3 linked regions of the Oryzias latipes genome follow. The protein of the gene in region 2 interacts with the protein of the main gene of each other region in a biochemical or structural test. Links are inferred from orthologs where the notes say so. Each region holds a gene or a part of one and is shown on either strand. Other genes may lie near its edges.

The links.
Region 1: the proteins of xrcc1 (region 2) and polb form a complex in vitro, tested with the Homo sapiens proteins (5 studies listed by BioGRID, with this or other methods). The link is inferred for Oryzias latipes from reciprocal best matches to the Homo sapiens genes XRCC1 and POLB.
Region 3: the proteins of xrcc1 (region 2) and aptx form a complex in vitro, tested with the Homo sapiens proteins (2 studies listed by BioGRID). The link is inferred for Oryzias latipes from reciprocal best matches to the Homo sapiens genes XRCC1 and APTX.

Annotation. Positions count from the first base shown.
Region 1 is NC_019867.2:6,237,191-6,240,942, reverse strand, and holds the start of polb (DNA polymerase beta), read right to left. Parts: upstream 2,946-3,752; 5' UTR 2,805-2,945; coding exon 2,744-2,804; intron 2,448-2,743; coding exon 2,390-2,447; intron 1,515-2,389; coding exon 1,448-1,514; intron 1,226-1,447; coding exon 1,151-1,225; intron 1,068-1,150; coding exon 1,009-1,067; intron 864-1,008; coding exon 814-863; intron 700-813; coding exon 648-699; intron 578-647; coding exon 523-577; intron 433-522; coding exon 360-432; intron 291-359; coding exon 220-290; intron 146-219; coding exon 59-145; intron 1-58. Other genes in the region: enkd1 (enkurin domain-containing protein 1), read right to left, coding at 3,357-3,517, 3,620-3,752.
Region 2 is NC_019874.2:25,079,861-25,083,512, reverse strand, and holds part of xrcc1 (DNA repair protein XRCC1), read right to left. Parts: intron 2,342-3,652; coding exon 2,229-2,341; intron 910-2,228; coding exon 747-909; intron 672-746; coding exon 431-671; intron 1-430. UniProt on the Homo sapiens protein: Scaffold protein involved in DNA single-strand break repair by mediating the assembly of DNA break repair protein complexes. Negatively regulates ADP-ribosyltransferase activity of PARP1 during base-excision repair in order to prevent excessive PARP1 activity.
Region 3 is NC_019859.2:15,250,457-15,254,208, forward strand, and holds the start of aptx (aprataxin), read right to left. Parts: upstream 2,358-3,752; 5' UTR 2,258-2,357; coding exon 2,128-2,257; intron 1,911-2,127; coding exon 1,864-1,910; intron 1,744-1,863; coding exon 1,465-1,743; intron 1,340-1,464; coding exon 1,280-1,339; intron 1,178-1,279; coding exon 951-1,177; intron 89-950; coding exon 1-88. UniProt on the Homo sapiens protein: DNA-binding protein involved in single-strand DNA break repair, double-strand DNA break repair and base excision repair.

The sequences.
Region 1 (3,752 bases), on a different chromosome or scaffold from region 2:
TACCTAATGGAATTGCATGGAGCTGAGTGCATGAAAGAAAAACAAGCTGAAGGCTCACCATGAACTTGGTGTCTCCTTTGGACAGAGTGTCAGTCACAAAGCCAATGGACTCCAAGTGTTCAACCACAGCATGGAGGAGCTTGGGCTGAGGACAAAAGAACAGAAAACTGAGTTGCAGATAAAGATGGGAATAAAAGTATTCATGAGATTACTTTTTACCTGTTTCTCAGTCTGCGAGGTGTAGTTTGGGTGGGTCAGCAAAATATCAATATCACCACTCGACGCTGCACCTGGAAACCATAAACAGTTACAAACGCCACCAACCAGTAAAGAAAATGACTAAAGACAGTAAAGATCACCTCTTCTGTAGCTTCCACATATTGTTCCAATATATTCTGGATCAATTTTCTCCAACTCAGCAATGATAAGAGCCTTAAAAACACAAGATGATGAAAAGCTTGACAAATACACGACACTTTCCAGCCCGGAAGTAGAAAACATAGAAGCAAAAGGAAAAACTACCTCCATTTGTTCCATTTCAGCTCTTGGGATCCTTTTCTCAAACTCTTCAAAGTACCTAAATGAAGCAGATTAGTCACTAAACAGTCATTTTTGAGTATTTGAATAAGTAAATGTCAAACCTTTACCTGAGTCCAATCTTTTGATGGTGGTTAAGTTTGTGCTCAACCTTTTTCAAATCTGCAAAAGAATAGGAACATACGGAAAATCAACATAATGCAAAACATTTTAGAATTTGCAACACATTCATACTGATGTCACATAATAGTAATGCACATAAGAGACTTTACAAACCATCTAATGTCTTCACCCCTTCTTCAAAAAACTTCCTGGCGGCAGCAGGGCTAAATAAAAAAGACACACTAATTATATGTTTTTTAAATCATATCTGCAGAACAGAAATAACTTTTTTAGCTTCTCTTGAAGGACCACTGTAAAGGTCAATAAAAACCATGTCATCCAACTATACGAATAACATTACCAACATACCCAATTCCAGTAACTCTAGTGAGGAAGTTGATGGAAGAGCTGGTATCATCATTTCGGATCTATCGAAAAACATAAATAAATCAGTTTGTGTGACAACATGGATTCTATCAGCACATCCTCTGCAGTATCAGTAAACTCTCACCTTTTCTAGTTTTCTTAGTTTGCCAGTTTGTAGAAATTCATCAATCTTTTCTGCTATTTTGGCACCAACACCATCCTGAATCATGAAAGAGGAATTGAATGTAAATACGTAGGCGGATGCTTCAGCATTTTCAGGAGTTATAGAAAATGTAAGTTAACAAAATAGTTTAGGTTCAGATAGAGCTCATAAAACACTTCTTAAAACATTAACACATTCTTAAGACAACAAAAAACAATTCGGAAAATTTCACATCAAATAGGAGATATTTTAAATATATATATATATATCAGCACATACCAGTTTTTTTGCTTCTTCTCCGTTCCTAATCTTGCTTGGGTATTTAGAAATGGTAGATGCTGCTTTCCTATTATGAATGAAAGAGGTAAAAAAAATAAGATTAAAAAAAAAATATCAACGCAGGTATTAAACTCTGACTGAAGAAGATAAGAAAATCGTGTTGCTGAGAAGTTGGTGGAGAAAATGGAGGACTAAGTACTTAAGGTCCACAGTCCAGAACAACAAAGAGTGTGGGAAAAGAGGCATGTGCAAGCGGGTTGCAACGGGTGGAGGAAGGTGTGTAGTGTAACAAAAGAAAGAACGAAAGGAAAGCCGCAGAAAACTGTGGTAAGAGCAGCCATGTTTTTGAATTAGAGAGAGTGGCTCTGATGTGACAGGAGGCAGAGCTTTGGGTAGCAGAGATGAAGATGCTGAGGTTCTCTTTGGGTGTGATGAGGATGGATGAGATAAGGAAAGGTGTGAGATGTTTTGAGGATAAATGCAGGGAAGCAGACTGAGATGATTTTGACACGCTCAAAGGAAGGACAGTGATAATGTTGATCAAAGGATGCTGAGGTTGGAGCTACAGGAAAGAGGAGGTTCATGGATGTTGTTGAGGAGAAGGTGGGTAGTGTGAGTGAGGAGGATGCAGAGGAGGTTTAGTGGATGGAGGCGGATGATTCGGTGCAGCGATACCAAGGGAGCAGCAAAGAGAGAAAGCAGAAGGAACCACAAAACACACACTCATCATGCAACACAAACAAAGCACAATGTTAGGTTCTCGGCTCTATGAAAGATTTAGTGAAAATTTCTGTATTTCACAGGAAGGATTCAAAGAGCATGGACATATTTAAATGTAAAAATTGTGAAAAGGGGATGTTTTGGGCAGACATCATTGCTATAGTAATTATTTTTAAAAACAACAACAATGGGGCTTACACTCCCTTACTCTCCCGAACATACCTGTAAGCATTGTACTTGTGTATTGCCCTGTTGACATTTTTCTCGTAGTTGGCCAACTCTGCAAACAGAAACCCATTAAGGCATTCTCCCACCTCTCATGATTTTCAAAACACCGATCCGCCCATTCATCAGCTTAACTCTGCTAGCTTAGAGTCGGCTTTATGTTTGAGTGATTTTATCATAGTCATTAAGTTTAAATATTGTACATCAAAGTAACCTTGATGCTTTCTAACTGACGAGAAAGAAACATAATCAACGGGGCCACTCTCAATAAAGCATAATTAGCAAGATATGTGGGTATTTATTTTTAAATGGAAAGGCTAGCTTCTGCTAGCAAACCTTAACTTCACTTACCGATGAGAAAGTCCGTTATTCCTTCGTTTGGAGATTCCTGTGGTGCTTTTCTTTTGCTCATAGTGGATGTAATTCACTATTGTAGTGTTTTAAAAAAAATTCCCAAGTAATATTTGCGTGCGAAAGCGATTACAAGCTGCAAGGTGTCAGTCAGTTTCTGACTACCACGTTAGCAAAAGTTAGCTTGCTCTGAACAATGAGACATGGTGGGGGCGGGGCTGCGCGTGCGCACTTCGTCAAAAAGGATTCAAGTGTATTTATGGTTAAATTGGGTATAATACATAAAAAGACAAAGACACTGGTTCTGTACAAAGTATTATTGGATAAGATTTAAGAAAGAAAAATATACATTTTCATTACTGACAGTTATGTGGCTACAATACATCAAATACAGCTCAAAAGCAAAATAAATAAATTACAAGCAGATACACAACTGTTTTTCAAGATACCATGTATACATTTTATAAAATAAAAAATGCATTCAAAGCAAATAAATCTAATGTACAACTTTTTTGGGTATATTTCCACAGCAGTATCTAAATTGTGTTGATTTTTAAGGATCCTATTCCACCCTTTCCTATATATCCTCTTTATATATCCTCTTCTTGAGATGTTAGGAATCAGTTTTGATATAAACTTTGTCCCTGGAGAATATCTTTATTGCCTCCTCAATTTCAGAAAGCCTGCAGTCAAGATGAGCCCGACGTGAGCGAGTACTCAGGTTGTCTGCTTTCAGAGGGAGTGAGTTTAATTCCATCACCAGGGTGCGATGAGCTGAGGAGGAAAAAGTATAATTAACCAAGGAACTATAAAGTCTCACACTATACGTGGTGTATTAAGTATCAAAATCAACTAAAGGTGAAGGTAAATACATACTATCTTTCAGAGATTTCAGTGTTTCCTGCCTTTCACTGTCCTGCATTAAGGTGTGACCAGGTGGGATTGTAGGATCGGGTGTGTTTCTTTTTCTCTCCTCCTCCTCTTTGCGCCACTGTGCTTTCCTTTCCTC
Region 2 (3,652 bases):
ATATGTTCATATCTTGAAGTGCTGCAGATTATCCAGGAGTCTGTTCTTGGTTTATCTCTTTACCCTGTCCTTGTAAAACCACGTCTCTGCGCCGCCCCTTTCTCCTCAGTCAATTCATGAGTAATGCCTGTTTAATGTGGCAGTACTATAGTTGATGTAAAAATGCAGTTTAACTTAAACCTAAATAGTCAGATGAGCAAATAACACTTCATGGCTGCAGGAAAGCAGCAAACTAATAAACTGCATGAGGTGGATTCCTCATTAGGGAGCTAATGGCCCATTAAATGTAACGTTTGTTGTGTAAAATGAGGATTTTGTCTTGCTTTAGTGCTTATTTCGCTCACAGTGATAGTTCCAAACCCAAGTGTCTGTTGATGTTGATGAAAAACGTAACATTGAGCAAACCGATTTCCCTTTTTTAACTGCTCACATGAGATGTGTGGAGTCGGACGTCCAGTCTGGGCGGTACTTGGCTCCCATCTCCAGGGCTTTTTCTCTCAGCTCCCCTCTGAAGGGGTTTTGGAAGCCGCTTAGCACAAACACGACCCCCTCCATGATCTTCTTGAACGGGACCTGCTGCTCACTTTGGGGTTTGGTTTTTGGTTTGGGTTTAAGCTCCGGTTTAGACTGTACCTCCTTCTTCTTCTCAGTGGATCTCTGAGTGGACGACACTGCAGAACAAAACGACCACAGAAGAAAATGATGAGTATTGGTTTAACAGCATCAGTCTGAATGCAGGGACCTACCTTTAGTGGTGCTTGGGCTGGGCGTAGCGGCTGGGCTTGGCTTGAGTTTGGGCGTGGCGGCTTTGCTCTCAGGAGAACCAGCAGGACTCTTTTTGGTTGAGGGAGAAGGACCGGAGGCAGACAGTCGCTCTTTGCTAAACTCAAACTTTCTTTTTACAGGTGGCTACCAAAAAAACAAAATAAAATAAAAAAGTCAGTTAAAAGCTAAACTTTAGCAGTGTTACACTTCAGCTAAAATGAAGTGAAACCGAATCCACAGAAAATGTGTCCAAAACAAAGTATTTGGGAAAACTGGGCCGGGCGATGTGGCCTAATAATAAAATCTACGTTTTTTTACACCAAATTTGATTTCTGATTTAAAGCCATTTTTTCTCTACCCGTTTGTTTTCTTAAACAAAAATGACAGAGTACTAGAGTTGCACGTTATGAAGAAAACACACGATTTGCGCTATTAATGATCGATATTGCCATGACGATGTAACTTATAACACATGAACAAACAGCAAAATAACCCAAAACATCGTTTCATTTCACTGCAACAGTTTAATTTAAATAAGAGTCAACATAACTTCAACTACACTCCAAATGACCCTCGTCTACATGGGAGGCGAGCTTCTTACATAAAAGGAGTCCATTCGATTGGTCAAACGAAACGACTTTCGTTAGCCTGAGCGTCTCTTAGAGAACAGAACTTCTCCCACTCGACTGGTTTCTGTTTCTGGAGCTAAAACAAATCCGTCCCACTCCTACTTCTGGGATCCAAAGCCTTCTAACAGCTTTTCTAGCGTGCAGGTTGTGGTTGTTGCCCCGAGTCTGAAGTCGCAAAAACAAACCAGTTCCATAGAAATGAAGAAACGGGGGGTCCACATTCCAGATTTTCTCAAAAATAAACTGCAAATTAGAATTCATCAATAAAATCAATTTATCACCCAAGCTTAGTGTATATGGACTTTTTTTAAATTTTTTTATGAAAGAGTATCAGAAAACAAACTTCGGAAAGAGATTGGCAGAAAAGGCAGTTTTTTAATTAGGAAAAAAAAAACTCCCAAGACTAAAACAACGACTCTTCAATAAACCCCCCAGCTGTGGTAAAGTGTCATGTTTCGTAGCTATTTGTGCAAAGACACTGTGATCTTTCCTGCTTTCCATTTTAGTGTTTATTCAGGCAGAACAGCAGAGCAACTTCAGGTTTTTTCAAAAAATACACTTTTATCTAAATCAATCATGTGCAATAAACATTATAATTCAATCATATTTCTTTTCCAAATGTGTTTAAAAATGGAAAAGTTTCAAAAACTTGATTGAACAGCTGCACTCTTTTTTTTATCAAGTTCAATCTTCTGATCTCTACAGATGTCAATCTCCATGAGCCTTGCTACTTTGGCTTCTTCTTGTCTGCATCGCACACAGCTGCCTCTCTGGTCTAAATCAAGCTGAGGGCTCACAGAAGGAACAGCAGAAAATGATGGCGGTGTTTAGTACCTGTGGTGAGGCTGAGCTGGAGGAGGAGGAGGAGGCTTGGCCTGATGGGTGAGGGCCTCCACCTGCCTGCAGAGCAGCAGCAGCGTAACTCAGCTTGTCACTCTGAGGAGACACTGAGGAGGGAACACAGGACCCCCACTCACAATAAATAAACTGATAATACAAAATACGACTAACATTGTTTCAGTTTGGGATATTTCTCTTATTTTACACGAGGGTTGAGAGAAGTCTAAACAAACATCGGATGTGTTGCCTTTTCTGTCATTCATTAAATTCTTGGATGAAGCGATTATGTATAAAACAAGCTCCATCCTGTTCTTTACTTGCTTTCAAACTCATGACCTTTGCTTTAGTTTACTCATCATACCCCATCAGTTAGTCCCGCCCCCTTTAGAAAACACGCTAAGTACAAAGTACCACATAAAGAAACAAACGATTTTGACTTAAAATTCCAATTTATCTGCTATTTTCCTCCCAACAATCAATTGTTCGGTCCTGATGTTTTGAAACAAACTAATCCTAACAAACGTATATCTCTACACATGCAACAGTCAGCCAGCAGGTGGCAGACAAGTTCAAACCCAATCATTTAACAGGGTTGAATGACTCCACAAGCCTTAAGAGAGCAGTCAACTTATGCCGCATTTATACTGCAGGTCTTGATACCCAAATCCGATTTTCTGACTATATCTGACGACCCGCTTACATCATCTTTTAAAAGTGGCCCATATCCGATTTTTGCATTTACACTATACAATGCTGAATATCAAACGTAGACGTTCTGAGGATTCCGTAGCAGCATTTCCGCCTTCCGCAGACCTCCTTCGGACTTTTGTGTGACTGCGGTTGTCATGGAGGCAACGCAGCGACAGAAGGAGGCGTTGCCTTAGACGCTACAGGATGAGGCAGATCCACGAGAGGGGATGCGCGGGAGAGGAAAAAGGAGAGCTGCGCGGTCGGCTTATGTGCTCTCTCTGAGTTTTGAATGAGGAAGTGTTGCAGACGTTGTGCTGTACTAAAAGTCTGATCCAAGCAAAGAAACAAACGGCTTCTAGCCTGTTCCAGAGCAACGGTGTCCCGCTTGATTAGTTACCGTTTGCGTCCAGACCGGGACCGGAAATAACGAAGCCTGAGGCTGAAAGGTAACACGCTGCTGGGGCTCCAGCTGTCCTCGAACAGCAAAATCAGCGCACAAAAGCACCTTAATAAGTCATGTGATCTCAGTTGGTGGTGTCCTGAGTTGATGTCACTGACGTACGACTCGCATTTACTGGGGAATATCCGATTTGTCTGCTTACATGGAAAACGCAAATGCACGTATCCGATTCATTTCTACATATAAATGAGGTCTGAATCCGATCTGAAAAAACGGAATCCATGCGGTTTTTTCCTGCTTACAAGTTCACCGGTCATGTCCGATCTGT
Region 3 (3,752 bases), on a different chromosome or scaffold from region 2:
GTAATCTGTGGTAAAGGAATTCCAATGCTTCTTGTTCTTCAAACAAGGAGAGTCAAAGTCTTGACTGATCACGTGGAGGTGGATGTGACTGAAGAGTGTAAACAGAACGGTTCATTAGTGGGAAAATGTCAAATTCAGCCGAGATGTCCTCGTGTAACACTACTCTGATGATTTATTGTGCTCTGAAAACAAACCCACAATGAGCACATTTAAAGCAGTAATACCTTTATTTATCCAGGTAGTGATGCTTCAGCACAAGCTCTCAGGGGAATCGTTGCATCCCTACTGCATATGTTTGCATATGTTTATGTTGAAAGTAACAAATACGAGCATTGTGCTAAATTTAATATAGTTTTATCACATTACACCAGGGTCATTATAAGCAAACTAAAGGGCTTTGTTTACTGTTACTTGCTTTCTAGATAATAATAAATAAATAAAAACCAATTTTTTTTTTATTATTATTTTGTTATACACATGTATCAAAGTGAAACAACACTGTGACCTGAAAAACCAGAAAGTGAATTGTTGCATCTCTTCATTATTCTTTATTAATTTTCAACAGTATGGGGAAATTTGAGGCTGGACGGTGGGGTAGTGGTTAGCGCTCTCGCCCCACACTGAGAAGGCCCTGGTTTGATTCCCAGCAGGGCCCTTTCTCTGCTGAGTTTGAACGTTCTCCCGATGGGTTTTCTCCAGGGCACTCTGGCCTTCCTCCAAAAGCATGCATCATAGGTTTACTAGGTGACTCTAAATTGCCCCGAGGTGTGCATGTGTTTGTGTGGCCCTGCAAAAGACTGGCAACCTGTACAGGGTGTTAACCGCTTTTCCTCAGCAGTAGCTGGGACAGGCTCCAGCAACCCCGAAAGGGATACAGCGGGTTAAGAAAATGGATGGATGGTGTACTTTAAGGAGTAACAGCCCAATAAACACACATAATAAAGACTTACCTCATGCTTGGGATGGCGTGATAACCAGTCCGGAAGCTAAGTGAGCTGGATTCTGGACATTGCTTAATCATGCGCTCAGCCACCTTCTGCATGTGTTTCAGCAGATCGCAGTGTTCTGCCTTCAAAGCCTTCAGGCTGGGAATCGACTGCCATGGAAGAACCAGCCAGTGGTAACGAGCTTTGGGATACTTGTCTTTGATCACTACAACTGTATCGTCCTTGTATATCTAAAAAAAAAAAAAAAAGATCAATTAAAACAGAAACAAAACCTAAATTTAGTTTCAATTTAGACGTACGTTTATCAGTAAGTAATGTTGAGTTATAGCTACCTGCATTTTGGGGTCTTGCATTGAAGTTTTCAAGCCTTGACTCCAATGCCCAGAAATTCCCTACAAAATGTCAGTTAACATGAATTATGAGAATGAATATTTAAATAAAAACTCTCCAGGTCTGCAACAATAATTTGTATATTAGGCATAAATCACAGATTGTAGATTTCTTTGTTTCTCCTCACACTAGTTTTTGTGGCTTCTCCTGGAATGACAGCTGCAGCGACTTTTTCTGTGAGTTGTCCAGCTTTCAGGCAGTCTGTCTCTCTTTGGCTTCCTCCATTCTCTTTGACTGGCTCTGGTGGTCTTTTGGTGGCGCCCTGGCTCCCGGTGGTGTCCTCTTTGAACTGCACGGTGTATGGATAAAGGCTGTTGACCACGAGCAGCTGCTCTCCAGGCTTCATTTTGACCTCATTGCCTTTACCCACCACCAAGGAGCCGACAGAGGTGGGGTTTAACCCCAGCTTAGGGAGGGGAGAAAAAAAACAGGTAAAAAAAATAGAACAATAAAAATAATACAAAATGTACAGCAATAAGGCTTTTTATTTTGTTTATACCACTGATCATTCTTGTGAGCATGTTACCTGCTTCACTTTGACATAACCTTTGTTGCATTCAGCTTTCAGTTCAACTGATGGGAAAGTCAGGAACATTTAGACAGGTTAAAACTTTGCATTTCGTTTTACAAACATGAATGAAAATAACTTGATGCTCAAGTCATTCAATTCCTGCTGTTTTCTTAAATGTATTATCCCTGAAATCACTAAAACAATAACAGATTATTTTCCTAACATTCTTACTGAACTCACAGGAAATCTAGAGACTGTTTTTGTAGGTAACATCGTTACCTTGATGCCGGGAGCATTTTTTGTCTTTGATAGTAGTTTCTGGGCCTCGACCCACGACAACTGTCTGTAAATGAGGCAGGTGAATGGGTTTGTGATTCCCCTCTTCACTAATGAGCCAGCAAATGGGCATTTTCTCATTTCGTTACGCTTTTCTCCCTAATATTTAGCAGCGGGACACGTTTGAATGTTTGTTCAACTTGTCGCGGAGTGATGACGAACGAGGGTGCGACCGAGGAACAAGGTGGGGTGGGAAGTTCTGTCTCCTCCCAGAGTTCTTCACTTTGCGAGAGCGCGCAACAACAGCAAAATTGTGAACGACATAAAAACGTGTTTTCTTGTATAAAAATGATATCTTGTAAAACAACTTTTTATTTTTTTTTATTTTTTAGTTGTTGCTTTTTAATTTTTTGGTCTTTTTTCTTCTTCTTGGTTGGTTGGTTTGTCAATGAATGGACATTAAATCATAGCAGTTTCAGAAAATTCAACAAGGCTTGGCTCTTTTTAAATAATATTTAAAATATCACTTTTTTGTATCTAAAACTTTTATTATGACTGACTTTCTGAAACGTGATTGTGCTGAAGTTAGATTCGTTCTTTTTTTCATTTAGGTTTAAATTTGTGGGTTTCAGTCATGTTAATATTGATATCTTTTGGGAGAAAGAACATAACTCGACATGGTGCGGTCACAAGTACCAACAGTCGGGTTTAGCTGTCGACGCGCGTTCCCGCGAGGTGGACGTAGATGTCTGCGCTGCGCGCAGACAAAACTCGACACCACACCAGCAGTCGGCAGAAAGAGGGCTGCAGGAAGATTCTGGAAGAGCCGTTGTGAGCTGCAGTCTTGTGAGGGTGCTAAGCGTGGTCTTCGTTTAAGGTTGGAAAACCACTAATTCTCGAAACATGTTATTAACAACAGCCCACACGTGATTTGTTGGCTAAAAAAATTGGCAAAAAAGCCACCATGTTGATGACATACATAGCTACGACATGAGTAGCTAAATTAGCTACAAAGGCCGAATCATTGTGCCCCTCTACGCAGAGAAATCTAACTTTATCCACAGATAATGGAACAGTAGTAAGCAGAACACCAATGTTAGTCGACATGATGAGCCTGTCGGACTGCATTATATTTTCGGTGTTTTTCTAAATCCCTAGAAGCTTTCAGCTATGATATTGACCAAATGAACAGACTCTAGCAAATAACCCGTTTGCTGCTAGAGCTTCTCGGGTAAAACTGACCTGAGGAACAAAAAGTCTCAGCATTGTTTATTTGTTTTTTTCTATTAGAACAATCTGTCCTAACACACACAGCTACCGTCTCTGTTTTCTCACACAAAACAACAGAAAATTTCTAAGCCAAAAACTCCCATCATGCTCATTTACATGCCTGAAAAAATGTTTTTTTAAACAGCAATGCTCAGATCTGACGTTGTTTAAATATTTTAGTACATAATCAGATTGCTTTGTTAGCAAGTAAAGACTTAAGACTCTTTCTGTTGTTGCTTTTTTCAGCGTCTGGTTGCTTATTGGTCACATTTTAGTCAATCTTAGAATTGGGCAACACACAAGTAAGAAAATTGGACCTCATTCACCTTTGTTTATCATTTCTGAGAAAAAGTTGGCTT